4 linked regions of the Oreochromis niloticus genome follow. The protein of the gene in region 2 interacts with the protein of the main gene of each other region in a biochemical or structural test. Links are inferred from orthologs where the notes say so. Each region holds a gene or a part of one and is shown on either strand. Other genes may lie near its edges. The genes, in order: ccdc88ab, akt1, hspb1 and ezh2.

Region 1 (7,667 bases), on a different chromosome or scaffold from region 2:
AGACAGATCTGTGCACGCTTCACATCTTGATGTCTAAAATAACAGTACTGTGATACAGAAAAGGACTGCATCGTCAGGTAGACTTTGCTACAAATATATATTTCTTGTTCTTATTACTCCACTTTGACCCTTGAGCTTCCAACAAATTCATGCAGCCAAAACAGTTATTTTCCAGCACTGAAGCTACTTCCTGCACCTTCTTTACAGCACTACAAAGGAGTGAGGGTAAATGTTGTTTTGTCTATATGTACATTTCAATATCTGAAAAGCTGATTTGATTGATAACACTGAAAACCGTTCAAACTCAAAAAAAGGAACTTTATTATTTTTGAATATCTGCTTGGGTAACACCCATATTCAAAACAATGACTCTCATACATTTTTTGTAGTCGAGTTATTGCTACAAAAATTTAAAATAATATAAAAAACAACAACAACAAAAGCAAAACACAATACTGTGTTCTGACATTGTTTCAGACTCTTGAGTCTCTAATTTGGGAAAGTTTGCCAGCTTCCAGACTACTGTACTTTGAATGAATACAGTGTTGGTCAGAGTCTCTTGGGATAATGGTAGCTGCATGTAGTGCACAGATCACGCCAAACATGACCGAGAAGTTCATCAGCACTTCTTGGGAGTCCTCCACAAAGTCACTTTGAATTATAACAGCCCGGAATGAATGAGAGATAGTCGGATGGTAAATTGATTAATGAAGTGGGCAGCACATTTGGTTTCTAGTAATATCAGACATTTTTGAAAGACTGATTTAATAAAAAGTACAAAACAAGAATCCTGGCTTTCAGGATGCTTCTTAAAACATATTTGCCTAAAAAAAACAAATTAGCATTTCCCTGCATGGACATATTACTGAAGATTAACTTATCTTTTTTTTAACTAGTTTATGTCACTTACCTAACAATTACTTCTGGCCTTAAAATTAAGGCCTAAATAATAGGCTAAACTAAATAAAAGATGAATGCAAACTTTGAGTTAGTAGGACTGGTTTTTAATAAAAATCTAATTTCCATTACTTAATTTAGTTAATAACATTGAATATTTATTGCAAAATATATCATATATATAACCATATCCACTTAGTCTTCATTAAAGAAATTAGATTGTAAGGTTAAAGATCAGAGCACAAAATGATCATATCTGAATCGTCACCGTAGAAAGAACAATATGTTCTTCCTTCCTCTCATGTTTTACTGATACAACTCAAGAAATTAAACTACATTTTCAGAGACTTTAAATACATTTGAATATAAAACAGGTATGTTACCAAATTAGCACTTCAGTATGGACGATCTAGGATACAGAGGGATTTATTTCAAGCCTCCAAAAGGAACTTTTATAGTGCAAATATAAGCAAAGACACAATCAGACATTACATTTTGAAACATGTCAGACTGTTACCAGTTTCTGCTTGGAGCTTAGATCTAATGAGCATTTTGTTGTATGCTAGACATAGCCCATCTGTTAGCAGCAGAGCCTCATTTAAACGGCTAATGCCCACATAAAGATGCAGACATCCATGTAAAAGATAAATAGAGTCCTTTTTTTTGTTTTGTTTACATTAGATTATCCAGCTGAATATTGTGCATTAAACAACTTACATCGCTTCAGCTAAACATGTTTTGCAGGAAACAAGAGACAGCCGGTCCTGTCACGAACACACACTGTATAGCCCCAAGCTAAAGCACCAACAACAGTGACCGTTATTCTAAATGGAAATTATAACTTCTGCTTATTCAAAACAGCTGCTGAAATGTGCTGAGTGAAGGTTTTAAGGGACTATATATACAGTAAGCTATTCATTCATTCTTAAACCTGTTCCTTGGAGGTGATTCAGGTCTCTGGTTCCCAAACCAGTGATTGTGTTTTGATTGGCTATTTGGCCACATTGCCTTTGCTCCCTCTGCACACCATCAGAGCCATTTATCATTTGTTGATTAGGTGTCTTCAACCTCTATAGTGGACTTATTTCTAAGTCATCACTTTGCAAAATAAAAAAATATTGTGTGTTTAAAACTCCTGGCTTCATTCAACAAACTAACCAAGTTAAGTTTAGTCAAACACATTTATCCATCAGTCATTTTATTATTTGCTGCCAACACTGAATTTATTGATTAGTATCTCACAGTCTTCCTAAACCAAACTAACATGATCAGTTCTGTCCAGCCCACTCAGATATTCCACTGCTATAAAACAGAAATGCTGGTAACATTTGACAACTTGTTTTACAAATATCTTGAATGATTCATTAATTATATAAGTAGCAGATTATTTTTCTGTCAAAATCTGACCTTGAGTAATCATTTGACCTTTCACTGAATAGTATGAGTCACAAGTTATCTTAGAGCTTCAAAATTAGCCATTCATAGCTGTTCAGACATTTACTAAATCATTCAAAGTCATTTAAAAAAAACAAATGCCAATAAAAATGATACAACCTCATTCTGTATCATTATGGATATTTTTAGTTTTATGGTCTTTAAAGCAGACCTGTCTATTTCTGTTAAATTTGTAATGTTACAATGGTGAATGCTCAACTAATGATAGAGGCATATGTAGAAGTAATGAGCCAAAACCTCAAGTTTCAGACTACTCTAACTCGCTCTATTTCACATACTTTTTCTCCTACTCTTGAGTATGCATGATGTCACTGAGACAAGATAATATTGTCATTACAGACCCATCCACCTGCTACTGAGCCTGTGTTTTTATTAGGGATAGCCAATCAGAAGAAAGTTGGGTTAAAGGGAGGTAGATGCGAACTAAAGTACAGATGCTGGATGAAATGAGGGACTGTAACAAGGCCCAGCATAAGATTAATCAGGATTGTTTCTAAATAATAATAGACTAGAGTTCAAGAATAGCAAGAAGATCTTGATAGATTGTACCGTGCATCTCTACATTTTATTAAAAATCCAAAGTCTCTGATAACTTACAAAAACCAATATTGGTTTATCTTTCTCTATGAAGCGATACTATTTTACACTATCGTACCCCTCTTTGTCGCCATATCAATAGTTACTAGCTATGATCCTCTAAATTGGCCTTTTTTTGATGTGACTAGAGTTCTGACAGATGTGGGGACAACAGTGTTTTGTTAGACATGGAATAATTTTCAGGAAGACCTTAAACTTAAACAAGGCTATAGCTATTGGTGAATTTAAATCATCATATGGATTGCAGAAAAGGAGACGTTTCATTATTTTTTTTTTTAGAGGCCACTAATGTTTTATGTTATTTGTTTATTGCATATTAATTGTATGTATGTAGACCTTGTATTTTTTGTTGTATTTGTGGTATTTGGGGGATGTTTTCAGTATGTCTGAAAGCTGCATTGGCCAAGTCTCCCTTGTAAAACAGATTTGATCTCAAAGGAACATCCTAAATAATGCTGAATAAATAAATAAACAAACACAAAGCTGGAAATGAGCACAAGTCTCCTTTAATAAACCAAACAAATAATTGATTGCAGAAAGATTATTTTATATATTTGAAACGAATCATATGTTGCAAATTTGATGGAACAGTTTCTTTGATTGACAGATACTACACCTCCAGACTTTACATTACCCACCAGGTGTCAGTAGCCTACATGTCACTAATGTACTGCATGCTGCAAATGCAGACAAAGAGTATGCCTGGATCCCCAGCATTTATACATGCCAGTGGATTAAATAAGCACAAACTGGAACCAAATGTGCCACAGCATGTTAGAAATCATAACGCTGAAGCTGCAGACAAACTGGTTTTCAATGAAAAACAAACAATTTGCTTCTTTGATACTTAAAATGATCTTAAGACAGTTTAACTGCGCTAGATGACTAAGTGCTTTCTACGAAACATGACTAAGAGCATGAAGTAGTCTGAGCTGAAAGAGATGCTTTGATCAGTGCCCTACTTTTCTTGGGCTACAGAGGCGCTGAGGCGGAGGGAGATGCACGCGAGAGGCAGGGAGGGGGGCGGTCCTACGCGTCCTCGAGTCATCCTCCCAAGTCTTGCGCTCAGTGGTGTGCAGTATTTGAACAGAGGCAGACAGGGGAAGCAGAATGAGTGGTTAGACATGACCTTAGAATAAATATGAGGAGTAACCCGACGGTTTCAAACATCTGGATTTCCCTTTGTGTTGGATATTTAATTTAAAAGGACGTGTTGGAGGAATATCGCCCCTCACCGTTGGACTCTATCTACCAGTTCCTCAGCATAAAACCATACCTGGCGCAGGTCTCCTTAATCTTATTTGTAGATAGATAGCGAGCCCGGCTGGCGACACATTACAGAGTACCTTTATTTAAAGCGCTTTAACAGAAAATGTGAATCCCTGCCTTCTCCGTGAGGGAGCCGAACCCCCATCGTTGGCATCTGAAACAGCTGGCTTGTGTCTAGAAAATTGTGGATTAACGATTTTTTTTTTTTTTACCCCTTCTCCCACCGAACCTCGGACGTCTTTCAGTGGCCTGTAGCCACAATGAGCGTCGATTTAATTGAATTAACTACATGAGCGGTGTCTAAAGAAACGCGTTTCTCTCCGATTTCAAAAAGGGAAAAAATCCATATCTGCTGAAATAAACGGCGCCAGGAAAATATGGAAAACGAGGTGTTCACTCCGTTGCTGGAGCAGTTCATGCTCACACCTCTGGTCTGCTGGGTAAGCTCCCTAATTAGCTATTCAGATGTGTCTTGAGCTCGCTAATTAATCACCCCATGCTGTTCTTTTATTGATTATCTATTGTCCACTTTTCAGGTGAAGACGGTCGGACACTCGACGGTGACCGATGGCACCAAATTATCGGAATATATTGAATTAGTGGATGGCATTTACCTGAATGAGATAATGCTTGAGATGTAAGTAGTTTGCGGCACACATCCAGAAATATTACCCGTCATTGCATTAACAAGGGTTACTGGGTTAAACCTTAAACGTGTTATGTGCATATAGTACCCATTCTGTGTGGTTATATGTATGCATTTTGGTCAGTAAACGGGGTCTGTGGGTGTGGAGGAAGGTCAAAGTGGTACTCACCCTGGGGGTTTTTCGTGGGGTCGTCCCCTCATGAGCAAATTAAGCAACTGCAGCCTCTGTCCGGCGCTTAAAATGAATGTAGGCTAAGCACAAAGGGACCTTGTATTGGGGTCAATGATGGGTCGCACTGTCAGAAATCTTTGCAGACAGTTATTGTCGGGGGTTCTTTAGAGCTCCGCAGATTGTCTGCAGGCATGTTTGCTGCAAAGATGCGTGCGTGTTTTCTTTTAAGTCACCCTACACTGTCATCTGCAGCCGACTGGAAGACACCCCGCCCCTGGAAGCTGCAGCCTCACGTTTCCTAGTAGAAATAGGGCTACTATTTCTATTAAACTAGAAATAGTAGCCCTAAGAAGACTCGCTGTAGCAGCACAGAATCTGGATGTTGACTGCACTGCAATGCAGCAGGCCAACATTTGGTTTACATTCAGCTGAAAGGGAAGGACTTGTTATGTATTGGGAGTTCTGTTGATAGTGAGAAAGGTTGGATGTTTGATAAGGCAAAGGAATTTCATGTTCAGTTTCTCTTTCCACTCAGCTACTAACAGTGTTGGGAAGGTTACTTTTAAAATGTATTCCACTACAGAATACTGAATACATGCCCCAAAATGTATTCTGTAACGTATTCCGTTACGTTACTCAATGAGAGTAACGTATTCTGAATACTTTGGAATACTTAATATATTATCATGCTGTTTACAACTACATGAATGTCCTATTGCTGTGATTTATTACTGTTACTGAAGGTCCGCGGCTCCGAAACGTAGTAAAGGGACCTCTGGCTAATACCGTGGGTTCGTGTTGGGCTGGTAGCCGAAAACTAGCTTTACTTTGTTGTCTGGGTCAACTTTGCTTGCGGGAGACAGAGAGAGGCGTTGAAAGGCTGCTCCAACGGAACTTATTTTTTCCGGAGGAAAACACGACCACGGTGTACAGTTGAGTCTTAATAGCTTACTTACAAATGGGCTCGTCAGGCACTCTTCTTGGCTGCTGTGGTTATTATTATATTTACATGCTTCCAGCTCCCGTTTTTGCTCCGTGACAGCTCGGACTTTTCCTTTCTCTCCCTCCCTCGCTCACAGACACATAACGTGTATGGCAGTCCATTCTCCCTGCAGCACGGACTACACTGCCCATCAGGCTACATGCTTTAGAGCTATGCCTGTAGCATTCTGCCTTTTAGCTTAGCACAACAACAACAACAAAAAAGCGCTCTCTCACCCAGGAAACACGCAGAGAGAGAGCGTCACCCTGTAACCATGGCAACCGTAACGCTGCCGCCTGGAACAACAGAACGTAGCTGTCAAACAAACCCAAACAATCCTGACCCGCGACAATATGAAACAGGGAAGTACCGCTGTGTATTCCATTTATTTCAACAAAGTAACTGTATTCTGAATACCACCTTTTTAAACGGTAACTGTAACGGAATACAGTTACTCATATTTTGTATTCTGAATACGTAACGGCGGTACATGTATTCCGTTACTCCCCAACACTGGCTACTAATATATATATAAAAAAAAAAAAAACACCCAGCACGCCCCTGCGGGCGGTTTATCCTTCAAGCTCGGGTCCTCTACCAGAGGCCTGGGAGCTTGAGGGTCCTGCGCAGTATCTTAGCTGTTCCCAGGACTGCGCTCTTCTGGACAGAGATCTCCGATGTTGTTCCCGGGATCTGCTGGAGCCACTCGCCTAGCTTGGGAGTCACCGCACCTAGTGCTCCGATTACCACGGGGACCACCGTTACCTTCACCCTCCACATCCTCTCGAGCTCTTCTCTGAGCCCTTGGTATTTCTCCAGCTTCTCGTGTTCCTTCTTCCTGATATTGCTGTCATTCGGAACCGCTACATCGATCACTACAGCCGTCTTCTTCTGTTTGTCTACCACCACTATGTCCGGTTGGTTAGCCACCACCATTTTTATATATATATATATATATATATATATATATATATATATATATATATATATATATATATATATATATATATATATATATATATATATAAACATGACAGAATACCGCTTTTCGTTCCTTTGTCTGGCTCCTGGCTGGTACTTCCCGCTAGCAGGACAATTTTTCATATTTTCCGCTAATGCTACACTCCACACTGTCAGCATTTATCCCCCCGCCTGCCTGTCTAAGCACCATTCAACCCAGCCTGCTCCCACTGGAATTGATTTTCACCTCTCAAGAGATTATGTGTTGCACTTTCATGTGACAACTTCTTGCCACATCAGTAGCTCAGGGAAATGTATGGATATTCTAATCTGTCTTTCCATTGTTTTGTGTACAGATTTACATTAGTAACAAGTGTGTAGTGTTTCAGAAGGATAAATGTGTGGCTGCATTGCATGAGGAGCTAGTTAACCCCCCACACGGTTTCCTCTCTTTGGATGGTTTCCTCTTCATCCTGTCCTTCCTTCTTATAATGTCCTCGACCTCTTGCTGTTCAGCCATCACTCTAAGCCGCCTATCTTGTGGTTTAAACTATCTCTTCCAGCTCTTTTTCCCATGCTTGTTTTCCTCCTCCAGGCTTTTTCTACATACTGATGTGTTCTCCAAATGGCAAGGCTGTCTCTCCTCTTCCACACATAGCTTCTTTAAAGTCTGCTATATTTTTAGTGCA
Region 2 (8,332 bases):
ATAAGGCAGTAAAAACTGTACTAACAGTCATCCAAACACTGTCAAGACTACCATTAGACTTCAAACCTGCAGGCTATCATAACCAAAGCACTTGACCCTTTCCTTCATTCAGTATTTCTTTGTGATATAAAGATAGCTTTGAATAAAGGGAAGCAGCCAAAAGATGATCAATTGCAATGCTTGTTCACATAAATGTCACATACTGCGCCAGGCGATCCCTGACCATCGGCTGAAATCAATTTCCCTGCTGCTCCATCAGAGCTGGGCCATCAAAAGAGAGCTCTGTTTGAGTGGCCTCATCCAGCTAACTGGTGGGGACAACAACAGGAAGTGAATGTGACTATTGACAGACAACGAGTCATATCAGTACAGCCTCAGGCTCGAATACATCTGGCAGCGAGTGTGCAATCAACACCTTTTACTGCCACTCTGCTCCCCTCCATCAGTGAGCAAAAGTAAGTTTATGAAGCCAAAGTTTATTTTCGCTCAGTGTTTTTGTTTATTGCACTTGGGGTTGTGGTGCTTGTGTCACACAGCCGATGTTGGAAGGATCCTGGAGAGGGATTTGAGAAGGAAAAAAAAAAAAAAAAAAAAAAAAAAAAAAAAAGGGAAGCACACAGAGTGCAATTCAAAGTAAGGATCACAAAAACCGTTGGATCCCATCGGCATCTTAGTGTGGACTCTGTGACACAGGCACGCACACATTATATACACATTGGGATACACCTCACAAACAAACTTGAGCGCACACACGCCGCAGCCAAAAAAGCAACACATGCACAAGACCGGCTCTGGAGCCACAACAGAGCGCTGCTGTTTTAATGGGAGCGACCTGTTGCTACTGCGGCCTGTGTGGAAAAAGCTGGGCCGCTGCCAGCGCTGCAGCCAGCAGCCACTGAATGAACCCAGTACCCTGACAGCGGGTCACATGGTCCTCAGGCCTCTGGGCCACCGCCTGCCTGCCTGCCCTGATGTCAGGGCGGCTTTCAATCATTCATCTTTCTGGCTCCAACGCCGGGGGCCACCCCATTCAATGCAAATCAGTGTCATGCAGCAAAAGTTGCCACACACTGAGCTTGTCACTGGGCCAGAGAGGATAGTCCCATGTGTTTATAGCAGGAAGCAGGGGAGAAGAAAAAAAAAAAAAAAAAAAATCAGGTCGACATCACCACGCTACTTCCTTCATCACAGATTAATAGATACCATTTTTTGCTTCAGTTTCTGCTCGGTTAACAGAAAAACTACCACATGGTTTCTGGTTCCAAAAGTAAAACATTACACTGAAAGTATTTAAAAACACAAGAAATGACATCACGCTAACCTGTTGCTGAAAAACAAGTCACCAAAGCAACACTTTAGTTTGAGCTCAAATACCACAGTGGAGCCAGTATTACGGTGATCTACTACGCTACCAAGTTCCTCTTTCAAGTTCCCTGAAAGCACACCATTATTGATAAGAATATTGCGGGCAGCTTTAACTGAACACAAAACCGCAGTGACTGCAACCTTGAAAGGCAAGCAGACTCGCCGCTTTAATCCTACGATGACACGAACACCAACCACTTTATGACTCATGTTAATGTAATCATATTCAGGCTGTTCAGACAAGCTGTAAAAGCAACACAAAGCTTAATTTATTCAAATCACCACCACCCCCCCACACACACATCACACCTCATGAGAATCATTTTACAATGGCTGGAAAGTTAACACAGAAAAGCAAAAGGAAAACAAAAGTATTTTGTTTTCAGTTTTTGTGACACAGATGGAGAAGAGTGACGTCCGGGACACCGGTACGAGAACCACCTCTTTCTCAGTCTCAGTACATCCAGACTCTGGTGATGCATCCAGGCCCCTGTTTGTCTGTTTTGGACAAAATTTCAAACAACATTCCTCAGATTCTGCATGCAACTGGTGGCAGATTTGCGTCAACCGAGCTGCTGCGAGGGGATTGGGTGGGAGGTGGGTGTTTTTTTTCTAAACAGAACAGCGAGAGCCAAGCAGTCACTGGCTGCATCATTGCGCCAGCTTGTTGCGTCTTCCCCAGGTCACATGCCAAATCCCCTTGCGTACACACACAGTGGACAGACGTAGTCTCATGACTGATAAAAACATTTTTTTTTTTTGACACTGAAGGCATGGTGGGTACAACACACCCGGGGACAATGTTCTCTTTTTAGTACATGCATGCACCCTGGGAGAAGGAGACAGACAGTATTATTAGTAAAATAAGTTTTAAACATGATTGCAAGCCTTGTATCCTGCAAGAATCCTTTTGAAATTTGAAAGCCCATCAGATTTCTATGCCCTTGATCACTTGATATCTCTCAAACTTGATAAGAATACTATAATAATAAACCTTTAAGACAAAAAACTATTGAGTGCAGACCTACACAACTGTCATTACTGTAGGTGGGATGCTAGCAGTGAGGCCAGTGAAAACTATCAAAACACACTTATCCACAGGCATTATGCCGTTGTACTGATTACGGGGGGGGGGCGTTAAATTACACTGTTGGGACTTTTTCTTATGACGTCTGTGTCTAAATTGTGGACCAAAAAGTAAACGCGTGGCAACAAGTCACAACATAGACGCATAACTTTTTCTTTTTTGTAAAGCAGCACTGTTTGTGGCCACAGCAGCTTCTCGGCAGGCAGGCAGCAAAGCTAATGGCTAAAGATAAGATGGCAATAAATGCCTCACTCAAACAAGTAAACAAACGCGGTGGTAGTTCACAACAATGAATGAGCTGCTCTCTCTTGTTGAGCTCATTTGTTTTCATTTCCCTCCAGGACCATAAAGCACAACGCCAAAAAACCCAACTTTTTTCCCGCAAAGAGGAGAACCGTTTCAAGCGACTTGACTGCAGATATTTTGGCCCGAGGGTTGTGTCTCAAAAGTGGTCATTGTCAAAAAAAAAAAAAAAATGAATGGTTAACATCTTAAAGAGACTCACTGCTGTTTGTGGAAAAACACCGAGCGTTAAGAATTCACTACAGGAAATTAATGAGCCGTCGACTTTTTTCGTCATGAGACAACTTTTTACGGCGAAGTGAAGTCAGGAAAGTACCTCATTTCAGGTTTGCATCTAGCGTTAGAAAGGATATGGGGCCTAGCAGGGCAGCTTGGGTGAGAATAACCGCATCCCATGTAAGTACAATGGGGACCTACCCTGTCTAGCTGTCGAACTCTTGTAGTTAACCATGCGAAGGAAACGCGGACATTTACCTGGACAGGAATTCAACAATGTGTCCGTCTCATTATAGTGAGCTGTTTCGGCGGTGTTTTAAGTTGACGGGTCCTTCAACAATCTGGACAAAGTGCTCTCATTTACTCCGTTTCTCTTGCCTTTCTTCCACTACACCTCCCAAACGCGCTGTCTGCAATGCCTCTGTGGCAGCCGTCTCTCCCGGGTCCTAAAGCCGCCCTTAAATGAGTCACACTCACAGAAGGAGTAGTAGGCTGTCAGGCGTCCCATTGAAGAAAAAAAAACTGCAGTGGTGCTTCTTCTGCATGGCCTTGTTGAACTCTCTGCTCTTTTATCTGTGCCGGTGGTTTCCAAAATGGGTTTCGGGGACCTGCCGAGGACCTTGTATGTTTTTCAAGGGATCCTCGCTTCAATTAAGTGTACTTAGGTGGGTTTTTTTGACTTCCTGGAACAACCACAAGGGTAATGCAGGCTACAAGATGAGAATTACATTTTGGTACCTGCTCTACCTGCTCTGCGATGAGCTATATTAGGGTTGCAAAAGGTGCTTCTAGTCATCAATCATCTGTAATTATGTATTACTTTTTTTTTGTCTTTTTGATTACATGTTTTTTGGTCACAAAATATACACAGATATTCCCAGTTAGTCCAGATGTTGTATATTAGTGCCTTACAAAAGTTCAAAATTACAGTCTTGCAAAGTTTGCTATAAGAAAAGACTAAGAAAAACGTTTTTTAGAGCTAAACTGGTTCATTTAGTATGTTATTATCATTTTGTCATTTCACATCTGCCCTGTTATTTAATAACTTTTAAAATTATATTACAATAAAATATTTTATGTTCACAAAACTCCTTCTAGGGTTTTAAACAAGTTAAGCTGCAGCTGTATCTGAAAGAAAAGTACAAGTTTGTCACCGTGTCTTTGTTTCAAGCAAGTTGTATTTGATGGGTAAACTTGTTAACATGGAAATACAGTTATAATAAGTGAAATTAGGTCAAAGTAAATAAAGCTTTATCCAAAATAAGGTCAACCAACCAATCAAAACCACGAAAACAAAAGGTTATGCACCTTAAAACTGTGTAAAGAGCTGTGCTTCTAAAAGGTGAAGCTCTAGCTCTAGTTTCAGATATGGTTCTTTCAGACACATGTGTAGCCTTGTGTAATCTAGTAAAATTATATTAAAATCACTACTAAAGAAGAAACCATAAGCAGGATGTGCTGCTGCTTCCATTCTGTTGCACGTCAGCGCTAAAGCATCAGGCTCGGTGGTGGACTTTTACACATTCGATCACCTGGTTCCAGTCACATCTGCCAGTACCAAAAAGCACTGGTACACGCTTTCTCTTCAAGTTGCTGTGGAAGGGCCTCTGACATTTCCAGGAAATGCCAACTAAACATGAAGTGTGAGAATGTCTCAGTCTGACACACTTAAAACAAAATACCTCAAAATGGGTAAAGCAGATGTGCTGAACACAAGAATGTGTTTGCAGAAGTGTATTTAGTCTGATTTAGCCCTTGCCACTGATCTTTTTGTATTCATGCAGATACTCTCTTAAATTAACTGCATATACCAGATGAAACAGCTGAACGAGAAGGTAAAAATCTTGAGGGTTGTTCATGATTACATGCCACACTTTTACCTGTTGTGTTAGATAAACCGTCATCTACAGCTACAGAGAACTCCACTGGAGAGGTAGGAGTTAAACCAGTTTTGGACAGGTACAGACAGGCCAGCTCAGTCTGCTTAAAAGAAGTCAGGGAGCCTATGTATCAAATGACGCCCTCAGATGACTGGGTATACTTGATCAAAATGTTTCTAACTAGAAGTCTAAAACATTTTAGAGACCTCCCATTTTAACATTTCCATTATCTTGCTTTACACTGTGATACTCACGACCCTCTTCACGTCCATTACGTCTTACCCCTCCATTATTTTTCTATCTCCAAGCATGGTGTAGTTGACTGCCTCAAAGTTGAATCAGCATTAGAAGTGCAGTAAAATATATGTATCACTTATAAAAGCAAGACAGTGCATGTGACAATTCCCGCAATAATGACTTAATAATATTAAAAGAACAGGATAGCAGGGGAAAGCTGCCAATGTTTCCTCTTGTGATGAAAAATTCATTGGCTTGTGCCCTTTGTCTCTCAGCCTCCTCTGCTGTCATTTCCCCTCTTTGTCACTCACGCTGTAATGTGTTTCTCACTGCTACCATGTGTCAGCCTCGCCAAGCTGTTCCTGTCATACAGGCAAAGCTGACTTAGGGTATCCCATATTTTCTCCAGTTGCTATTCATTGGTGCTCTCCTCCTCCTCCTCCACCCACTCTCTTTGGCCTGTTGATGGGAATGCCCGCTCTGTTGTTTTGCGGGATCAAACGTAACAGTAACAAGATTAAAAAGTCAAAGTGAGTTAATAGCATCTCTCCCATCAAAGGCTCATCTGATCTCTGATCCCTGTCTACTTGCAGTATCTGTCTAGAGTACAACAAACAGTACAGACAGAACTTAATGGCCCGTTAAAGGAGAATAGATAACACGCGGTAACAACAATTAGACACAGAAGGGCAGGAGGGCCATAATATGGAGGAGGTGTTGGGTGAATGGATACGTGGGGCGGTGGGGAAGCTGACCAAAACAGCATCTCCAGTCAACTACAAAGCAATTTTGCTTAAACTATTACACTATTAGATGAATGTAATATTTAAAAAAAACAAAGCAAAAGAATCACACAACTATTGTTGTATAAATTGCGTGTAAAACAGCAGGATCAGTACAGAACAGTATAAGAGATACTAAAAGTATGTGAGTGATATAGGGACACTTATTTTATTTAACCAGTGCAGCTGTTGTGATAAATCACTCCTAGAAGATACACACAAACAACTGATTATCAGTTATTAAAGCATTGGTTCTAAAAGCTGGCAACTGTTTTTAACGTGATTCCAGCATCCTATTTCCAAAAAAGTTAGGGACAACAATAGAAAACCCCTAAAACATCTGGTGGCTCATCTTACAGCTACAGTTAGGTTGACTGGCAACAGGCAAATAATATAAAATATTGTTGTAAAATTGGCCTCCTAGAGAGTGAAACATCTGTGAAGGACTGCATGGGAAAATAGTTGAAAATTTTAAGGATTGCTACCTTGACTGTTTCTGCTAGATGTCTCTTCCTGTTAAAAGGGAGTTTTTCCTTCCCACTGTCGCCAAGTGCTTGCTCATAGAGGGTTGTCTGATTGTTGATGGGTTTTTTCTTTATTATTGTAGGAGGTTTACATTACGATATAAAGTGCCTTGAGGCGACTGTTGTTGTGATTTGGTGCTATATAAATAAAACTGAATTGAATTAAATTTTGCAACTCATGAACTTGAGAATTTTCTTTGGTATGCAATATTATTAAAAGAGGTAGACATCGCAGGGAACTCTTTGTATGCAAAGGACTAGGCCAAAGACTAACACTCACTGCATTGGAAACAAACACAATTCTGAAGTGAAAATCTGAAGTAAAAATTCAAAAGGAACACTTTTGAAAACTATTAAGCGAACAGACATACATTTATTGTTTTATTCAAAAAGTTAAGTTTATTCCAAGTTAAACTCTGAAAGGCAAAGGAAAAAAACACTTATGAACAACATGGAAAATGCTACTGACTTCTCTGGGTCTGAACCCCTTTATTATGGACTGAGTTGAAGTAAAAAACCAAATTACTGTACTGTGGTTAAAAAGTTTTAATTCCTTTCAGAAATAATGGAAGACGTGTCCTCCCAGCTGAGAGAGAGTCCATCCAGATGATCTGCAAACAGTTCAGTAGCCAGCATCTGTGATACTGAGGAAGTGAATTTGTGCACAGGATGCAGAGGGTACGGGTAAATTTCACATCTTTAAAATCACCATTAATTCTGAATGAATATATATGCAGGGTTTTAGAACATGTGCTACCACTCATGTATTTTTCAGGAGGATGACACTAGACCACTTACTGGACATATTATAGCAGCGGGGCCCTACAGTAAAAGAATCCAGGTGTTAAACCAATCCGACTTTACTCCGAAACTGGAAATGTGGAAAATTACAGAACTAAAATGACAAAGCAGAAGGCCCCGAATGGCTAAAGAGCTGAAATCTTATATCAAACAAGCCCAGAAATACATTTGGCTTACAAAACTGCAGTAATTGATCTCTCTGGTTTCACAACACCACAGTGGCAAACATCCTCTTATCCCACTTTTTTTAAAGACATAAGCATATATGTTTCAAATAAACAAAAGAAAACCATAACATCGCAGCCTTTTGAATTTGTTGCTGTTGTGCTATTATTAATTAAAAACAGGGTTAAAAGGTTTTGCAAAGCTTTGTTTTGAATTCTCTGCCAGTTACATAAAAGATGCACCTGTTTAAAAAAAGGTAATTTGATTAAATCTGCATGGCCAGTGAGAGTGAAATAACATCACTCTCCCCAATATTAAAACCATTTCAAAAGAACATAAACTTTACTGCCCTTATGCATGGAGATGCATTATAAACACCCTCAAACAGACACCACCAGCACAGCTTAAACCCACAACTATGATCAGACTCTGGTCCAGCAGGGAGAGTGATGTGGTTCAACTCTGGCTGGTTGGCCAGTCAGGCTACACTGGAATGCGGGGTCTTTTGTTTGTCTGAGAGAGGAGTGGGTCAGGGAGAGAATGCCATTGATGATTGCAGAGAAGAAGAATGAACCTCCAGGAAGTGTTCTCTCTCTCTCTCTCTCTCCCGACTCCCCCGCTCTCATTCTCTCTGTCTCTCTTTCCCTATCTTTTTTTTTTCTGTGTGTGAGAACCTTCACCGTGCCGAGCCTCTCTCTGCTGAGGCCACAGTCCCCAGGCACAACCACTGCTTTGTCTTGCCCTGTGAACACACACACACCCCTCCTCTACTGGGCGCCTACGTTTGCCAGGGCCAGGGAAACACAGGGCCACTGCTCCTATTCTTATCCACATCACTGCTCCTGCTTGGATGGAGTGTTTGTGTAAGCATCAGTGCTTGAATGGTAAATTGTTTTTTGTATGTGCCACACATCTGACTAAACATTTAGTTTGTCGGGTGTTCAGCTACAAACGAGAAATCATCCATTCTCT
Region 3 (7,948 bases), on a different chromosome or scaffold from region 2:
ACTGAAGCACCTGTTTGACACTTCTTCAGACAAATCTTTAATTAGCAATATGTTTGCAGGCCTTCAAAGGTGCACACCTGTGTTGTTCTTTACTAGCATGGATGGAGGAGGTCTAAGGCAGATGAGAGTGAGAGTAACAGGTAGAGGGGTCCGAGGAAGAGACGTCTGTGTGTGAGTTGGAGGTGTAGTTGGAAAGGCTCAAGTTTCAGAAGAAATTACGGGCAGCTGTTATCGATCATGCTATCAATCATGGCTTTTCACTTAAAGAGGCTGGACAAAGAGTACAACCGCTTTAAACAGAAACACTGTAATGTTGCTGTGTAGTAATATCTTCAGCAATATACTTCATGTAATTGTTTCCTCATTCCCATTACATGTATTCTTTATAGAACTGCCGTTCTCTGGTGGAAGAGGGACAATTTTCACGCAGCCTTATGGCAAACAATGCCATAAGGCTCCGTGAAATCAGGGCAGCAGTGATCGCAGATCAGGAACCTCAACAACGTGGGCCTGACCACCACTGACCAAGTCTTGAAAAGCAACCATATTTCCATGAAGCAGCTCTACAGAGTTCCATTTCAAAGGAACTCTGAGGTTGTGAAGGAGGCCAGATGCTGTAATGCCTTGTCATATCATTCAGTTAAAGTCAACTGGAGTCACTTTTCATTGTAATTTTGCTTTTACTCAGAGAAGAATGGAGCTTGAAGCTGAGGGGGCACATCATGTCTTCATTTATGTTGATGAAGTCGGCTCCTGTAAAGTCAGGAGTTGTGGAAGGAACCTCACTGGATACAGGGCCACTTTCATAGTTCCAGAACAGAGGGGTACCAACATACCCACGTGTTCTGCCATCTCCAATGATGGTGTCCTATGCTATATCCCCACTATTCACCCATACAACACCGAAGGACTCATGACATTCCTGAATACACTTCATGAGAGGCTGATCTAGCCTGAGGACAGAGGGCTGTTGAGGACTGTCATGCCCCTCTTCGCCATTATCTGGGATAATGTGGCGTTCCACCAATGAGTGGTTTACAGTACACCCACATATAATGATGCAGTTCCTCCTAGTATGTGCCCCATTTTTGAATCCCTTAGAGGAGTTTATTATCACCATCCCTATGAGCAGATACCCTTTCTGAATGCAATGACTGCTGCAGCTCAAGAAATAGGTGAGGAGGAATGTCAAAGTTGGATACGGCATGAAAGAAGATTTTTTCCTCGGTGCATTGTGAGAGAGAATTTTGAGTCTAATGTGGATGAAGCCTTGTGGCCAACTCGTCAAGTCAGAAGGGACTGAGTATCAATAGCGGCTGTTTCTTATACTGTAATAGATTTTATTTTGGTTTACTGTATTCATTTTGCATTTATGTATTTTCTGTAACATGTACAGTATTTCAGTTTTCAGCCAGTTTGCATCAAAGCATTTTTGATTCTGGATCCCACTGAGCACTGCATTTTGTATTTTGTTGTCCATTGTGTAATGATTGATTGGAAAATCTAATATACTTGTTTGCAAATTGTGTTGTTTTGAAAGCAAAATTAGCTTTTGGAGGCATAAACAAAATGTGTCACTTTGACCGTCAGTGCCTCTGTTAGGCCTGTTTGAGTTGACTGCTGCATGACAGCAATCAAGAAAAGCTGTAAAGCACTAAGGATATACATACATGTCTTCATAGATTTCTAAAATGTTTCATAAATGATTTTTTCAGAGAGTTTTAATTTGCATATATGTTAGGTTAACTCTAAAACTCATGCAGTTCAGTGCTACTGAACCACACCGGCCACTTAAGATCCTCACCAGACTTAATCAGCCTCTTGTATCTCAGATGCCCTGCTATGAAGTTGAAACGCTGCCCTTCATTCTGCCTCTGAATACAGTAATATGTTTGTTGTGACAACGGACCGATAAAGGTTGCGGTCCAGAGAGTGGTGTCCCCTTTTTAACTGGACCAAATTACTTGTGTAACACACACTTTTTCAACAGCTAAATGAAGGGTCATTAGTTTTGAGCGACAGCTAGAGAGAGGTCGCACTTTGGTGTGTTTACAAAATTCTTCATTACACTGTCGTGTTTAAAATATCATCCTGGGTCACTGGTGATACATGGGGTGGAACATGGGGTGGCAAATTCCACTTGGATTGAATCTTGTGCTTTGTTTATCTCAGTGTTTATGATGAGGTCCAGTCTCTGAGCGGAGAGACGTTGGGTACAGTCAGGGACTGAACCCTGGACCTGGACAAGATCCAGCAGTCCTTTTAAAGTAGTGGACCTACTGGTTGAGCTGCAGCTAAATCCCCAGCTCTGAGAATGGGATCCTTTGTGAAATAGCAGGCAGGGAGGCCGAGATTCACTCAGAGAAAAGAGAGCACAGGGCTTCAGAGAACTAAGCTGCTATCTGATCAGTTCCACACTTTCTTCAGGTCTGCTTTGCTCCTGCCCGTCCTGGATGGACAGTGAGGCTGTTTTAACATTGTTTTCATGCCTGAGCTTCTTTAAAAGTCAACTCCCACATTTTGAACTGTGTCTTGTTTTGCGTCCAGTGGGCTTACAGTCAAACCCCCCTGACCCTCCCAACTCCCTGAACACATTACTCTATTGTCTCAATATGTTATGTAACTATGTAACCACCTCATGCTTTGTTCAGTTCTATCAATTTTTGTTTTACAGAAGAAAAAGAGACACTTAAGAACACCAAAGTGAGACAGTGTGCATACCAACCAGTACAGCTGTCTTCTAAGGATAAAGAGATGTAGGTGTATGATAAAGTGTGTCACTCAAGGAACATCTGACTGGAATATGACACATTAGGTTTCAGGACATAAAACACTATGACCTTTAAATCATTCAATAAGGAGAGCGACAGAAATCAAATAAGTGCTCACCCGAGATTTCCACCACGCCATCTTTCGTCTTCACCACCAGCTCCTCAGGTGAGAAGTGGTTCACATCCAGCGATACTTTCCAGCTGTCTTGGGTCTGCTTGATCTCGGAAATTCCGCTGCTCAGCTGGCGGGACAGGGCCCGAGCCTGAGCCTGCTGAGCCATCATGTGGGTTGGATACATCAAAGGGGCATGCGGTGTCATTAGTTCTGGGGCCAGGATGGATGGCCTCAGGTACCCTGGCCAGTGGGTGCTGGGGAATGCGGCGATGTCCTCGGGCAGGGCGGGCATGCCGAAGGTCTGGTCAAAGATACGGCTGCTCTGGTGCCAGTCACGAAATGGGTCCCAGCTCGGAGTGCGGAGCAAGGTGAAAGGAATACGTCTCTCAGCCATGATGATCTGGGTATTTCTTCTAAGCTTCAGAGGAGTGTTGCTGTGTGCAGATCAAGAGCCCCTTGGCCTCTCTGGAAGTGTTTTCTTAATGTGCTGTCTGCCTCTCAGCTGAGAGCTTTTATACCCACTGATAAGGGGTGGTCCCTTATCAACCGAACCCTCCCTTCAGACTCAAGCCCAATACCTCATGCCTCCAGAATGTTTTAGGAAAGCACTAGAATATCTATTTGTAGCGGACGTAGCACTGGAATGGAATTCAACAGGAAGGCCCTCCCATGTAACAGCTGCCCAATGCCCTGAGTGCTGTGTGTAAACCCCCTTCTCCTCTCCCTGTGCGTCTCAAAGAGCCAGAAGAATCTGGGAGGCTTCTGTCAGTCTACTTACAAGCTAACATGCTATTTCTAACAACACTATGGTGTGCTATGAACCCAGTCAGCCCTGAATGAAATACACAGTGGAATATCAGTTTGGTACATGAATGCAAATGACTTGACTGCATTAAAACTGGAGGAAAATCCACCATGTTCACACCTGCCTATTGATACTTCATTGTCACAAAGAGGGAATTAACAAGCTGTAGTGTCTCAAGTCTTCTGTTAACCTGACAGTCTTTCATTGTTTACTGGATTAGTTAGTGCCGCGTGATACTGCAATTTTGGTATCGATCCGAAACCAAGTAAATACACGGCCAGTATTACTAATACTAGTACACATATTTTTAAACTATGAAGGCAGTTTATCTAGGGGGGAGTAGTATGTCATGATTTATGAGATTAATTGCCAGTTTCCAAAATCTGAATACATTTTAATGACCACTAAATCATCATGATTTTTACTTTGCACATGAAGTAGTTGAAGACCTGGAATGTAAATGTGTCTGTCTCTTAAGCACTTTGGGTCAGCTTCTATTGTTTTAAATGTGCTAGGCTAATTTAAAAAATAGATGTGACAGTGAAATGGAGGTTATGTTAATTTATTTGATATATGGCAAAGTAAGTAAGTATTTGATTTGTGGAAGATTTGGCTCAGGTCTTAGTGTAAGAAATCTAATCCCTCAAAGTTACAGCACAGGATGTGATATCTGCCTCTAAAATAAGCCACGTCTTCCTCTCAGCCCAAGTTTGCCTCGACGTTTCAGTAATTCCCCACAGCTGGAGAACATTCTAGCCTACTTAATAGAGAGAGGCTTCATGTTTTTGGTCAAGGTTCTCATCAGTGCCATCTGTAGGAAAATACATACACAGCACCAACAAGTTATCGCTGACTGCACCTGAAGGCAGAGAGAAGAACTCAAAAACTGGATCATTTCCCCATTTGTTTCTGTTTATTGTCAGGTATAATAACTTGTACAATACAAAGAATGATTTGTAGAATCAAAGGGGCAATGCTATACTTGGAATAAATGGTCAGGCTGCAGAGTATCATAGCTGGGATAAGTGTGGTTACACTGGAAATGCATGTCATGAGACCGGGTGAATGGTAAGGAAGACTTAGGCTGATCCCTGATTGTATCACCTGTTTGTTAACCACCCTCATGGAGGTGCAGACACAGCCTGCTGCCGTGCCTGCCAAGCCATCGCTCATTATCTTTTGTAGCCAGCAACCGGGGAGACCTCTGCTAGAAACGTGTGGCCAATTATACAAGGGACTGAAATATGGAGTGACTGGAAATGTACAGCAGAGTAATAGACTCTTCAGGCTGCTTCAGGCCGAGTTCTCTTCCTCCCTCGGCACAGGCAGAGCCACAGCGGCCCTGCGTTACCATGAATCATTATAACGGCTGGGGACGCAATAATGGCAGTGGTGGGAGTAACTGTGGGTGAACGCTCAGTTCAACTGGCTCAAAAATCAGAGCTCCTTAAACACGTAGCAATGCATCTGTGCACTGCTTGTTGATCTGATAACAGGAGCTAACCTTTGCAATGAGAAACCGATTCTGTATCATAACGTGGACATTTACAGTACTTTTCTCAAATCTGCAGCAAACCCATCTCCAAACCATGATCCAACTGCTTCACAGCGAAATGATAAATACATTAAACAATAAATAACCCAATAAATAAATGAATAAATACAGCAAGTTTCATAAACAGCTGAGATCAACTCACAAATGTGCATGGAGACTTTTTGCAGTATGGTACCATACAGCAGCTCACGTAAATCATTACCTCGTTGATCTTTGTAAAGGAGGTTCACACTCACACACACATACAAACGCGAACACACTCTCGCACAGGATTAGCATAACGAACGTAATGCGTTCATTAACCTCTGTTTGCAAAGGTCAGGGGGAAGGGGGAGGGCAGATTCACCCTGCTGGCACCTATCATTTCCATCAGGTTCCTTGACTCTCTCCTGATGAATCATGCTGAACATACCTCTTCAAACTATATGGAATATACAGTGCATAGTTTACAAAGCCAAACTTAAGAGAGTTTACATCTGTACAGACAAATCTATGCAATACAGTTTTCTTCTAAAAAAAGAAAAAAAAAAGTTATTTTTATTTCTTTTCCTGATTCATCCTCTGACTTCTCTTTTGTTCTCTTTTTGTTGATCTGTGTGCTTGGATGAACTGGAAGTCTTTGGGGTTGATGATTACATGATGAGAGAAAACGAAGTGATTCTCTGAAATGTACAGTAAGCTGTGTGATTTCGATGTGTCTGCCTTCTTTTCGTCTTCTTTTCGTCTACTCAGCCCCTCTTTTCAGGATATATTTGATATATATCTATATATACTTATATAACTGTTATTAACTGTTATTGAATGTATTTTTGGTAGCTGTGTGGAAGATGAGAAGGAAAGTGCTAACATACATTTGTTCTTTGGGCTCAGCCAATTCATTTTAGACACGTAAAAAAGAAAAAACCTTTCCTTGAATGTGTGAGAAGACATGAACAGTGACAGCCAATTTCATGGTAATGTGCTATATCAAAATACATTTTCCTCTCTTTGATCCAGGCTCTGTGTTAGAGACAGAATGGTCCATGGTGAAGGAGTTTGGATCCCGGGCTGTACAGCAGTGCGGCCCCTGCCGAGGACTTGCTAAGGATACGTAATGAATCTACCGGAGTGCAGCAGGTTTAACAGCACTTCTCCTACTTTTGTTCCTGTTTTTTTTTTTGTTCTCGTTCTGCTGGTCGCCATCAGAACCCCGGGCTGTCATAGCTGCTGCGGCTGTAATAACTGTGGTGGCTGCGGGAGCGGCTCCTGCTGCGACTCCAGCTCCGGCTCTGGCTGCGACTCCAGCTGTGGCTGCGGCTCCAGCTCTGGCTCCGGCTCCTGCTGTGGCTCCTGCTGTGACTTCTGCTGCGGCTGTAGCTGCTGTAGCTGCGGCTGTGGCTGCGGCTGGATTGTGACGGGCTGCTGTCGTAGCTGGAAGATGAAGGACTGGGCCGGTAGTATGGAATCGGCCGCTTCCGAGCGCTGGAGGAGGGGGAAAAATAAGGGTTTGAACAGTTAGTCCTATGTCCTAGTCCTATTTTCTATGGTTATACTGTTAAATCTGATGTTAAAGCAAGATTAAGGCAATCAGTGTTAGGTCACAGAATGGTGACGTGTAATCAGTACAGGATCTGAAAGAGAGCAGCTATGTGGGTTAAAAAAAAGCTCTTCAGCCTCACACACACACACACACACACACACACACACACACACACACACACACACACACGTATAGCAGAAAAATGCATGTGTTTAGTTGAAGTTCAAGCTTAGATTGCCTTGTTAATAGCCACCCTGGCCACCCTTACTTCCTGTAAGGTAATTAGCCGTTAGTTCCCTAAGAACCTCATCTTCTCAGTGGAGGCCAACACCCAGAAAATAAAAATCAAGAGTCAGTGGTGCAGGGAGAGATAAACGCTATCAAGGTATCCCTGCTGCTACGAGGTACATTTCACGAGCAGCGCTGTAGATAACTCAACCCCAGCTTTTGTCTTCTACATTGGCTGTGGGAATCAACAGTGTGAGCAATAAGGTGTGTGAGGGAAAGAGGGGGGCTTCCACTCTAATAAACCTTGATAGCGCTTTAATCTCTGCATCCTTTGTGTTACAACAGTAGTGCAGAAATACAGCAGGGTGCGGCTCTAGAGCCGGAGTGAGTTTCAGGAATGAGATGAAGAAGCAGAGAAAGGACAGAGGAGGAAGCCCAGTTTACTCATGGGAGCTCTGATGAGTTGCTGCTCAGCCAAACTTCAGTCACGGTATCAGGGTCCTGCTGCACGGCAACTGTTACCGGGGTGACTAGCCGGCAGCAATTGGGTTCAGCAGTAGCCCGTTGTCCTGGTGTCGGGACCTTTAAGGACTGAAGTGAAAGATGACAAAGTACACACATTTTACCCATGGCTATTTACACTCGAATGAGAAGGTTGCAGAGGTAACACAGGGAGAGGCTGAAACACATTTCACCTGCAGGTGGGACTTTCTTCTTCCTCTGTTTGTCTGAATAATTAACTGCACCTAAAAGCATTTCTATTGGTAACAATGAAACGATCATATGAGAATAAATTAAGAAGTCTAAGAAGTAAGCAGGAAACAAATATGTGGATGAGTCTAATAAATGGTTTTAAAAAGACTCATTAAAATGGAATAGAACAACTGGAACAACTAAATTAACCAATGAAATCTTTTGCCAGTTCAGTTATTCTTCATTTTACATCCTCATTCTT
Region 4 (8,008 bases), on a different chromosome or scaffold from region 2:
TGCGCGAATATATCGCCCATCAGAGATTGTTGGACTGACGATTGGAAAATTTTTACATATCGCCCAACCCTAGTACGGATATACCGGGATTGGTGAACTGTGCTTGGTTTTCCTGTACAGATGTGAGGGAAGAAAAAAAATCACCAACAATGCTATAAAACTATTTTCTAATCAGCCAGCAAATATCTGAGAATTGAGGAGAGCAGCTGCTGGACTTTCTGGAGAGGAATGTTTTCCTATTCCTGTCAAAGGATTCTAGCTGCTCAACAGGTCTGGATGGTCTTGGTTGTGTTGTTTGGCTCATTATCCTCCAAATGTTGAGCATGAATTATGGTGAGAAAGGTCTGGACTGCAGGCAGGCCACTTCAGCACCGGGCTCAGCGTTCATATTTCTAGTTTCATAGGCACGAGTGGACCCCCACATCATCATGGAAGCAGACTTTGAACTGATGACAAACTGAATGCTTCCTCTCCTTTTTGTTCCAGAGAATGTGAACTCTGTGTTTTACAAAAATAATTTCAAATTTCATATTACCTGACCTCAGAACAGAAAAAGTAACTGCCCCCACTTTTAAGTCATGAACAAACTGGGAATAATCACATTTTTTGGAAAGTCCCAATCACTTTCACTAGCCACACCCAAACCTGAATACTCCCAGACCTGTTGAGTCAAGAAATCACTTAAACAGAACCTGTTTGTCAAAGTAAAGTAGGCTAAAGATCTCCAAAAGCAACACATCACGCTACAGTCTAGAGACACAGCTGCAAAACAAAGTCACTGACATCTACCAGTCTGGAAAGGAATACAAATTTCTAATTCTTTGGGACTCACGAAAACAGTAAGAGCCATTATCCACAAATGGAGAAAACTTGGAACAGCAGTGAACTTTCCCAGGAGTGCATGGCCTACCACAATTACTCCAAATTACTTGGCAGCTCATCCAGGTTGTCACAGGAAAAAAAACAAAAACAAAACAGAACATCATCTAAAGAACTGCAGGCCTCACTTGTCTCTGGTGAGCTCAGAATTCATGAAAATATTCTGTGGACCGATGAGACAAAAGCAGAACTTTGATTCCTGTTACATCTGTCATCAAACTAACGGCACATCATCAAAAGAACATCTTATCAATATTCAAACAAGGTGGCAGTATTAATGATGGTCTGGGGCTGCTTTAGGACCTGGACAACTTGCCATAATTAATGGTATCATAAATTCTGCTCTCTATCAGAAAATCCTGGAGGAGAAGGGCACTTAGTTTATGCAGCAGAACAATGATCCAACACACCAGCAAGTCCACCTCTGGGCGTTCTCTGCTGTGGCCCATTGCTTTGGAGCAATCTTCCTCTTCACATTAGACAGGCTACATCAGTGCCGGTTTTTAAGTCCAGATTGAAGACCTATTTTTATTCTCTGGCTTTTAACTCTGTGGGTGACTGACATTTTTATTAATTTTATTGTCTTGCCAAGTTTCTATATTATTATTATTTATTGTTGTATTGTTCAGCACTTTGGTCTACCGGGTGTGTTTTTAAAGTGCTATACAAATTAACGATGATGATGATGAATGGTTCAAAAAACCCAAAATGCATGTTTTGGAGAGGCCTAGTCAAAGTCCTGACTTAAATAAATCACTGCAAACATTTGACCTTCAAGAGTTGCAGATCAAGTTTTTAGGTTTAGTGGGCAATTACTTTTTTTCCACAAGGGACCAGCTTGGTTTGTATAGATTTATTTCTCTTAATAAATTAAATCATTATCATTATTATTATTCATTTACAAAATGCATTTTCTATTTACTCAGGTTATCTTTTGTCTAACAATAAAAATGTATTGACAATCTGAAATAAGTAACTATGACAAATGGAAAAAAATAAGAAATTGTGAAGGGGGGAGTTAATTTATCACAGTACTGTATATCATTCTTTTATGTACAGTCTGTGGATGAACAGCAGCCACTGTCACCTACAAATAAACAGCACAATAACCCCACCATCCTACCAAGCTAACAAGCTTGTCTCCCCTCACAAACCCAGCAGCACAGGTCGGGCTCTACCCAAAACCTGCCACATGACTCTCAAGATGACTTCTGACTAACAGGTGAAACTCGAGCTTCCTGTCATGTGTCAGCAGCACAAACTTCTATTCTTCTGATCTAGGCGATGTTATGAGTTTTATAGTGAGGGAAGTGGTTGAATATCGCCCCCGCAAGGCTTCTAGGCAAACAAGAGGGAAGCTTTTTTACTTTTATCAATGTGACAATCTCCTAACTTAAGGTGACACTCACTTTTAACACCACCTTCAGCCCCAGTTTCACAATAAAACCCTCAAAAGCTTGAACAAAAAAAGAAAGAAAATTAAATGAGAGGTACTAAAAATTATACATCAAAAAACTGTACCAGCCTTTTTCTGTGAGCTAGCTTCGAGCTAACGATAGCTTGCGGATGTCGTGCCAAGTTTGGCTCCCCTCAAAATGTGCTTCCCCTTAGCTCAGAAACAGGCTCACAAAGGTCCCAAAACACGAGTGGACGGTGGATCCATCGGAATCATTACCCTCCTCCGAGTGATTTAAAAAAAAAAAAAGACGACGGCTTCTTTATAAGCTAGTCAATATTTACGGGGATACAAGAATTGGCACGGTACCCCGGCGAGCTAGCTAACAGTTGGCGAGTTAACAAAGATTGAGGCGCCCAAGAGCACAAAGAGCAGCCCACAACAAAAGCCCCGTGAACACAGCCACGGACACTGACAGCTTCTCTCACCTCCACCCGAGCCTCTGGCCTCATCCAACGGAGCGATCCGGATCGATGCGACAAACACGGGCAAAGTCGTCCTTTGTGCTGCAGATTAGCTCGCTCCGTATTACGGCTAGCTGTAACGTTAGCTCGGTGGCTAGCTAGCAGTTTAACTCAGGAGGAGGGAGCGACCGAGTTCGCGCGACACCCGGCTTCACGCACCCAGAGCCGGCAAATAAAATAACTCAAACCGGCTCCTTCGCTCCAAGGCTGGTTAGGACACAGAAGCTGTGCGTCTATGAGGGACAGTCGCACCGTTTGGTGTCAGCCTGCTTGTAAAAAGTTATTTGGATTTTAATGTTTCCGCCTAAGCAACAGCGACTCTGTTCAAACTGCTCCTCCGCCTCACCGCCCACTACGGCTGCGGCGGATTCAAGAGGCGCCAAACGTCTAGGCCAATCACAGAACCCGATGTTAGTGTTTCCTCAGTGAGTCCTACGCGATAGGTCGAATGATATAAACGTGTAGCCAATGAAATTTGGAGCTGAGCTGGGGGCCCTGTAGCGGGGACATGTGGACAGCTTCTCTTTGTTCTCTCCTGTCAACGGAATAAAAACCAAAATATGCAAATACACAATTTGACAGTTAAGTTAATAATATTTATGCATCACATTTGAAATCAAAGCGGTGTCTCTGACGTATAACAGCTGTCACAGCCGTGGGGCTAAACTAAAACACTTATATAAAAAAGGTTTTCGACGGATTTAAGGGCAGAGGAGAGGCGACAGACAGCGCGTCGTCTCGTGCAGAACAGCTCAGGCTTCAGCAGGTGTGTGAGCGTCTCAGTGTGTCCAGAACAAGGAAACATGAAAACATGAAGGCTGAACGGGTTTATTGAATGAATGAGAGACTACAGTGCCACAACCAGCAAGGGCAAGGGTCTCTAAGTTTATTAAGCCACGCCCCTCCAAGCAGCGATTGGATGACGCTTCGAAAATGTCCGCATGATGCATTCACTGCCAGCGGAAACAGAAAACACAGCAGACAGATTAAAAGCATCATTACAAAACAATTATGTATCATTCCAAATCTTTAAGAGTAGTACAAAAAATGTATATAAAATTTATAAGAATGTTTTAATGCATTGATTTTTAAATACGTTATACATTACTTTTAATAATACTAGGGAGGGAGATGAGGAAAGCAGACTGGAATACTAATAGGTTAGGTGACCTGGTAAACAGAGTGGATGAAGAGTGCAAAGGTCGTCCAGATGACATACCTGATGGAAATGTGTAGGAGAGAGGGTGGTGGACTTTTTTTTTAACTAGATGGTTTAACACAATCCTGGAGAGAATGAGAGGATACCTGAGGTATGGAGAAAAAATGTACTTGTATTGTTTTTAAGAAGAAGGTTGATGTGCAGAGCTGTAGCAACCACAGAGGGATAATGTTGTTGAGCCATACCATGAAGAAATGGAACGTTGATGATACTAGAATAAGAAGACAGGTGGTGATCAATGAGCAGCAGCATGACTTCATGCTGAGAAAGAGCACTACAGATGTGATGTTTGCTTTGAGAGTGATGGAGAAGTATAGAGAAGGAAGGGAGGAAGAGAGGAAATGTAATGGTGCGTGCTGAAGTCAGGAGTGGCAGAGAAGTATATGAATGTGGTGCAGAACATGTATGAGGGCAACAAAACAATGGTGATCTGTGTGTTATAGTGACATGGGCAACTTTAAATACCTGGGGTCAACCATCCAAAGCAACAGACAATGCACAAGAGAGGTGAAGAAGAGATGCAGGCAGAGTGGAGTGGGTGGAGAAGAATGTCAGGGGTGATTTGTGACAGAAGAAGAGCATCAAGAGTGAAAGGGAAGGTTTATAAGATGACAGCGAGACCTGTGATGATGTGGGGGATGATGGCAGTGACAAAAAGAAAGGAGGCCGAGCTGAAGATGTTATTAATTTCATTTAGACTGAACAGGATTAGAAATAAGACCATGAGAGGGACAATAATGCATCAGCTATTTGTATTTGTTTTGCACTGTTTCTGAAAAAAAGTTGGGAAGAAAATCCCTAAAAAGTGGGAAATGGAGCATGCTGCTTTATAACTGGTAAGGTGCTCCAGTGTTCTCTTTACTGACAGGACAGTTTGTTCTAATGTTCATCTGTGTGGGATCTCACAACAGCTCCCTCTGGTGGTCACGGTGGTGCAGCTCCATCTGCCAGGCTTTTGTTTAAATTCCGTTAACTTATCTATAAAAATAAGACTCTAGATTCTCAAAGGTCCAAATATTTTTTTGTTTTGTTTTCAGTGGAGAAAGACTTTTGTGATTTTCCTGAAAACCGATTATGCTGCTACTGATAGTGTTGTTACTGTTAGTGAGCAGGTAGTGAAAGAATCTGAGTGTATAAACATCCTATAAAAAGATATTATATTTATTTATTGGTCAGCACAGAGGTTCCCAAAGTGGGGGGCGCAGAGCCATTGCAGGGGAGTGCGGTATAAAAAAAAAATGAAAAGAAAAAAGAACTCTTGGACACTACTAGCATAATGGTCAGGTTTTTTTTTGACGGGGCTTCCACACAAACACAAAGCAGGAGATGAAGCATCGCCAAACATGTTTCCAAACAAACTTCCTTGCAAGCCAAAGACTAGAAAATATGAAGAAGCATGTCTTCCCTCTGGTTTCACCTGCATAAATGCCAAGGAAGGTCTCCTCGACAGAATTAGTTTCCCCTGCGTCAAGAGCAGCGCTGGGCTCTCCAAATCACCGACAAACAGTATCCCACATTCTTGATTTTTAGCTCAAAAACACTTCTTGTAATGACTAACTACTGCTGACATTTTGGAGATGTTAGCTCTTTATACAGAGAACATATTTATGTTATTAAACATATTTAATAATAACATATTATTTATTTGTGTGAGAACATATTTACATATAAAGGTATGAAGCCATAGCTGGACTGGCCATCGGGCATACCGGGCATTTGCCCGGTGGGCCGCTGGCGATTTCTTGTTTTTATGGGCCGATGGATTTTTTTTTTAAATTTTTTTTTTAGGAAGGGTATATATAATGAAAGGTGTTGGATTGGCCAATTGGTCATGATCGACTCTGGGCTGGACCAATTACAGCCGAGGAGGCCGGATGCACCCTCCCCCTTGTTTAGCAATCTTATAGACGAACTAAAGAAAATGGAGAACAAAAAAAGGAAAGGAGGTGTTTATGAAAATATCACTAAATCTGTCATTTATTAATTTTAATATTAATTAATGATCATGTCTCACCTCTAGGGTTCTTGGTCTTAATTTAAGGTTTTTCCTATAGCGATTGACAGATCACGTGACTTTCGCGCAATGCATGCCGGGAACTCGAGGCAAAACGATCCAAGTACCGCATCAAATGCAAGCATTTGCAGCACCGCAAAACGTTCATTCTCCGGTTCCAATACATTCTTGGTTTTTCTTTGCCGCACACAAAAGGAATGTACAAAACTAAGGAGAATAATGCCGGACCGTACAAAGACAGACTCGATGAAAAGGCAAAGAAAAGATACGAGGAAAAAATCAAAGGAGTGAAAGGGTCAGACCCTTACAAGCACACAGAGTGGACAAAAGACGTCAGTGTGCTGCCCAACTTTCACCACGCTCAGATTTATAATTATACGGTTCTTGGAGTGAGTGCATACACTCATGAAGTTTTTAGTAACTTCAGGTCACTGCAACAAGCCCAGGTACAGTTTACCGACGGATGGGTACAGGACCTTGAAATGCACTGTGTAGAACACAAGACCATCGTAAAAACAAAGGTAAGTTTACCAGTCTCACAAATCGTCGTCATAAATACACATTCGTTAACCGTTTATTAATATAACCTTTGAGCTCAACGGTAATTAATTAGTAGTGGAAATAATTTCTGGTACGCATTACAGAAATGTAGCAGTGACAATAATATTGTATGTTGTAATCGCACTGGACAATTAGTGATACAAAACAACTGTTTTATCCTGTGAATAAAAGTATATGTTTTTGTCAATATACCGTGGTAATAACAGAAGCGAAACGCAATATTCTGTCAGGACAATTCACTATTTATGCACAATAAATAAAGGAGCAGCGCGACAATTTCTGTTCAGCGCCAGACTTGCTTGTAACCTATATCACCAATTATGTTAAGAAAAATGACATATTAACTACTACAAAACATGTCTGTGAAGGTTCTCAGTCATCCAGGTCATCGTAGTCAAAGGAGTTTGCAAAGAAAAGCGTCTGGACTTCTTTAAGTTGCTTGAAGACGTTTCACCTCTCATCCGAGAAGCTTCTTCAGTTCTAAGGTCAAATGGCCGAGAGTCCCAGATTTAAACCCAGTGGGAGTATCCCCCCAAGGAGGGACAAAGGACCCCCTGGTGATCCTCTAATCACATGCGCCAAGGTGTGAAAGTGGGTGTGGGACCTAATCAGCCAGGGTTTCGGGTGAGCTCATTGTGAAACCTGGCCCCACCTTGTCATGTGAATTCCTGAGGTCAGATGGCCCAGGATGTGAGTGGGCGTTAAGGCGTCTGGGGAGGGAACTCAAAACTGGATTATAGATGGCAGACAGTTGGTGTCGTAAACCACCGCCTCTGTTCAAAGATGGTCGCTCACAGTGGACATAGATGGCCTCTTTCACTCCTCTTTCAAACCATCTGTCCTCTCCAGAGATGGGCAGTAACGCGTTACTTGTAACGCGTTACTGTAATCTGATTACTTTTTTCAAGTAACGAGTAATGTAAGGGATTACTATTGCAAAAACGGTAATTAGATTACCGTTACTTTCACGTAGGAACGCTGCGTTACTGCGTTACTAAAACCGTGATTTTTTGCGAGAACGTCTCATGACAGTGACGTAAGCGAGTGCGACGTTCGTGACAACAGCTGTCTGCAGATCATAATATATGGAGTGCGGGACAGAGTGTAGCATGCAGCGTTTAAAGCGTGGAAGTACTGACCTTATTTTGAGTTTGATTCCATAAAAAGTGACAAAAACATTAGTGTCCGTTGTGCGTGGGAAGAAAACTTCTTTTTACAGCGAAAAAACCCCTAAACTTCCAAGCAAGCACCGAGTGTACTACGACGTAATGTGAAATTCACAGAGAAACTCGCGGATTCTTCCACTGACCGCCGCGGCACACCTGCACCAGGGTAAACAACCTCCGCCTACCCCAGTCCTGCTTTACAGGTGAAAATAGAGCAACAGGACCGCTAGTCTTTGATTTTATTTATTT

What was found.
Region 1: the proteins of akt1 (region 2) and ccdc88ab form a complex in vitro, tested with the Homo sapiens proteins (2 studies listed by BioGRID, with this or other methods). The link is inferred for Oreochromis niloticus from reciprocal best matches to the Homo sapiens genes AKT1 and CCDC88A.
Region 3: the proteins of akt1 (region 2) and hspb1 form a complex in vitro, tested with the Homo sapiens proteins (3 studies listed by BioGRID, with this or other methods). The link is inferred for Oreochromis niloticus from reciprocal best matches to the Homo sapiens genes AKT1 and HSPB1.
Region 4: of the proteins of akt1 (region 2) and ezh2, one has a biochemical effect on the other in vitro, tested with the Homo sapiens proteins (2 studies listed by BioGRID). The link is inferred for Oreochromis niloticus from reciprocal best matches to the Homo sapiens genes AKT1 and EZH2.

Annotation. Positions count from the first base shown.
Region 1 is NC_031978.2:10,540,281-10,547,947, reverse strand, and holds the start of ccdc88ab (girdin), read left to right. Parts: upstream 1-3,974; 5' UTR 3,975-4,595; coding exon 4,596-4,658; intron 4,659-4,754; coding exon 4,755-4,855; intron 4,856-7,667. UniProt on the Homo sapiens protein: Bifunctional modulator of guanine nucleotide-binding proteins (G proteins). Acts as a non-receptor guanine nucleotide exchange factor which binds to and activates guanine nucleotide-binding protein G(i) alpha subunits.
Region 2 is NC_031983.2:8,882,115-8,890,446, forward strand, and holds the start of akt1 (RAC-alpha serine/threonine-protein kinase), read right to left. Parts: upstream 3,604-8,332; 5' UTR 3,449-3,603; exon of another isoform or gene 3,173-3,448; intron 1-3,172. UniProt on the Homo sapiens protein: AKT1 is one of 3 closely related serine/threonine-protein kinases (AKT1, AKT2 and AKT3) called the AKT kinase, and which regulate many processes including metabolism, proliferation, cell survival, growth and angiogenesis.
Region 3 is NC_031975.2:6,936,253-6,944,200, forward strand, and holds the start of hspb1 (heat shock protein beta-1), read right to left. Parts: upstream 3,281-7,948; coding exon 2,890-3,280; intron 1-2,889. Other genes in the region: srrm3 (serine/arginine repetitive matrix protein 3), read right to left, coding at 6,428-6,707. UniProt on the Homo sapiens protein: Small heat shock protein which functions as a molecular chaperone probably maintaining denatured proteins in a folding-competent state. Plays a role in stress resistance and actin organization.
Region 4 is NC_031974.2:2,280,888-2,288,895, forward strand, and holds the start of ezh2 (histone-lysine N-methyltransferase EZH2), read right to left. Parts: upstream 3,183-8,008; 5' UTR 2,764-3,182; intron 2,583-2,763; exon of another isoform or gene 2,405-2,582; intron 1-2,404. UniProt on the Homo sapiens protein: Polycomb group (PcG) protein. Catalytic subunit of the PRC2/EED-EZH2 complex, which methylates 'Lys-9' (H3K9me) and 'Lys-27' (H3K27me) of histone H3, leading to transcriptional repression of the affected target gene.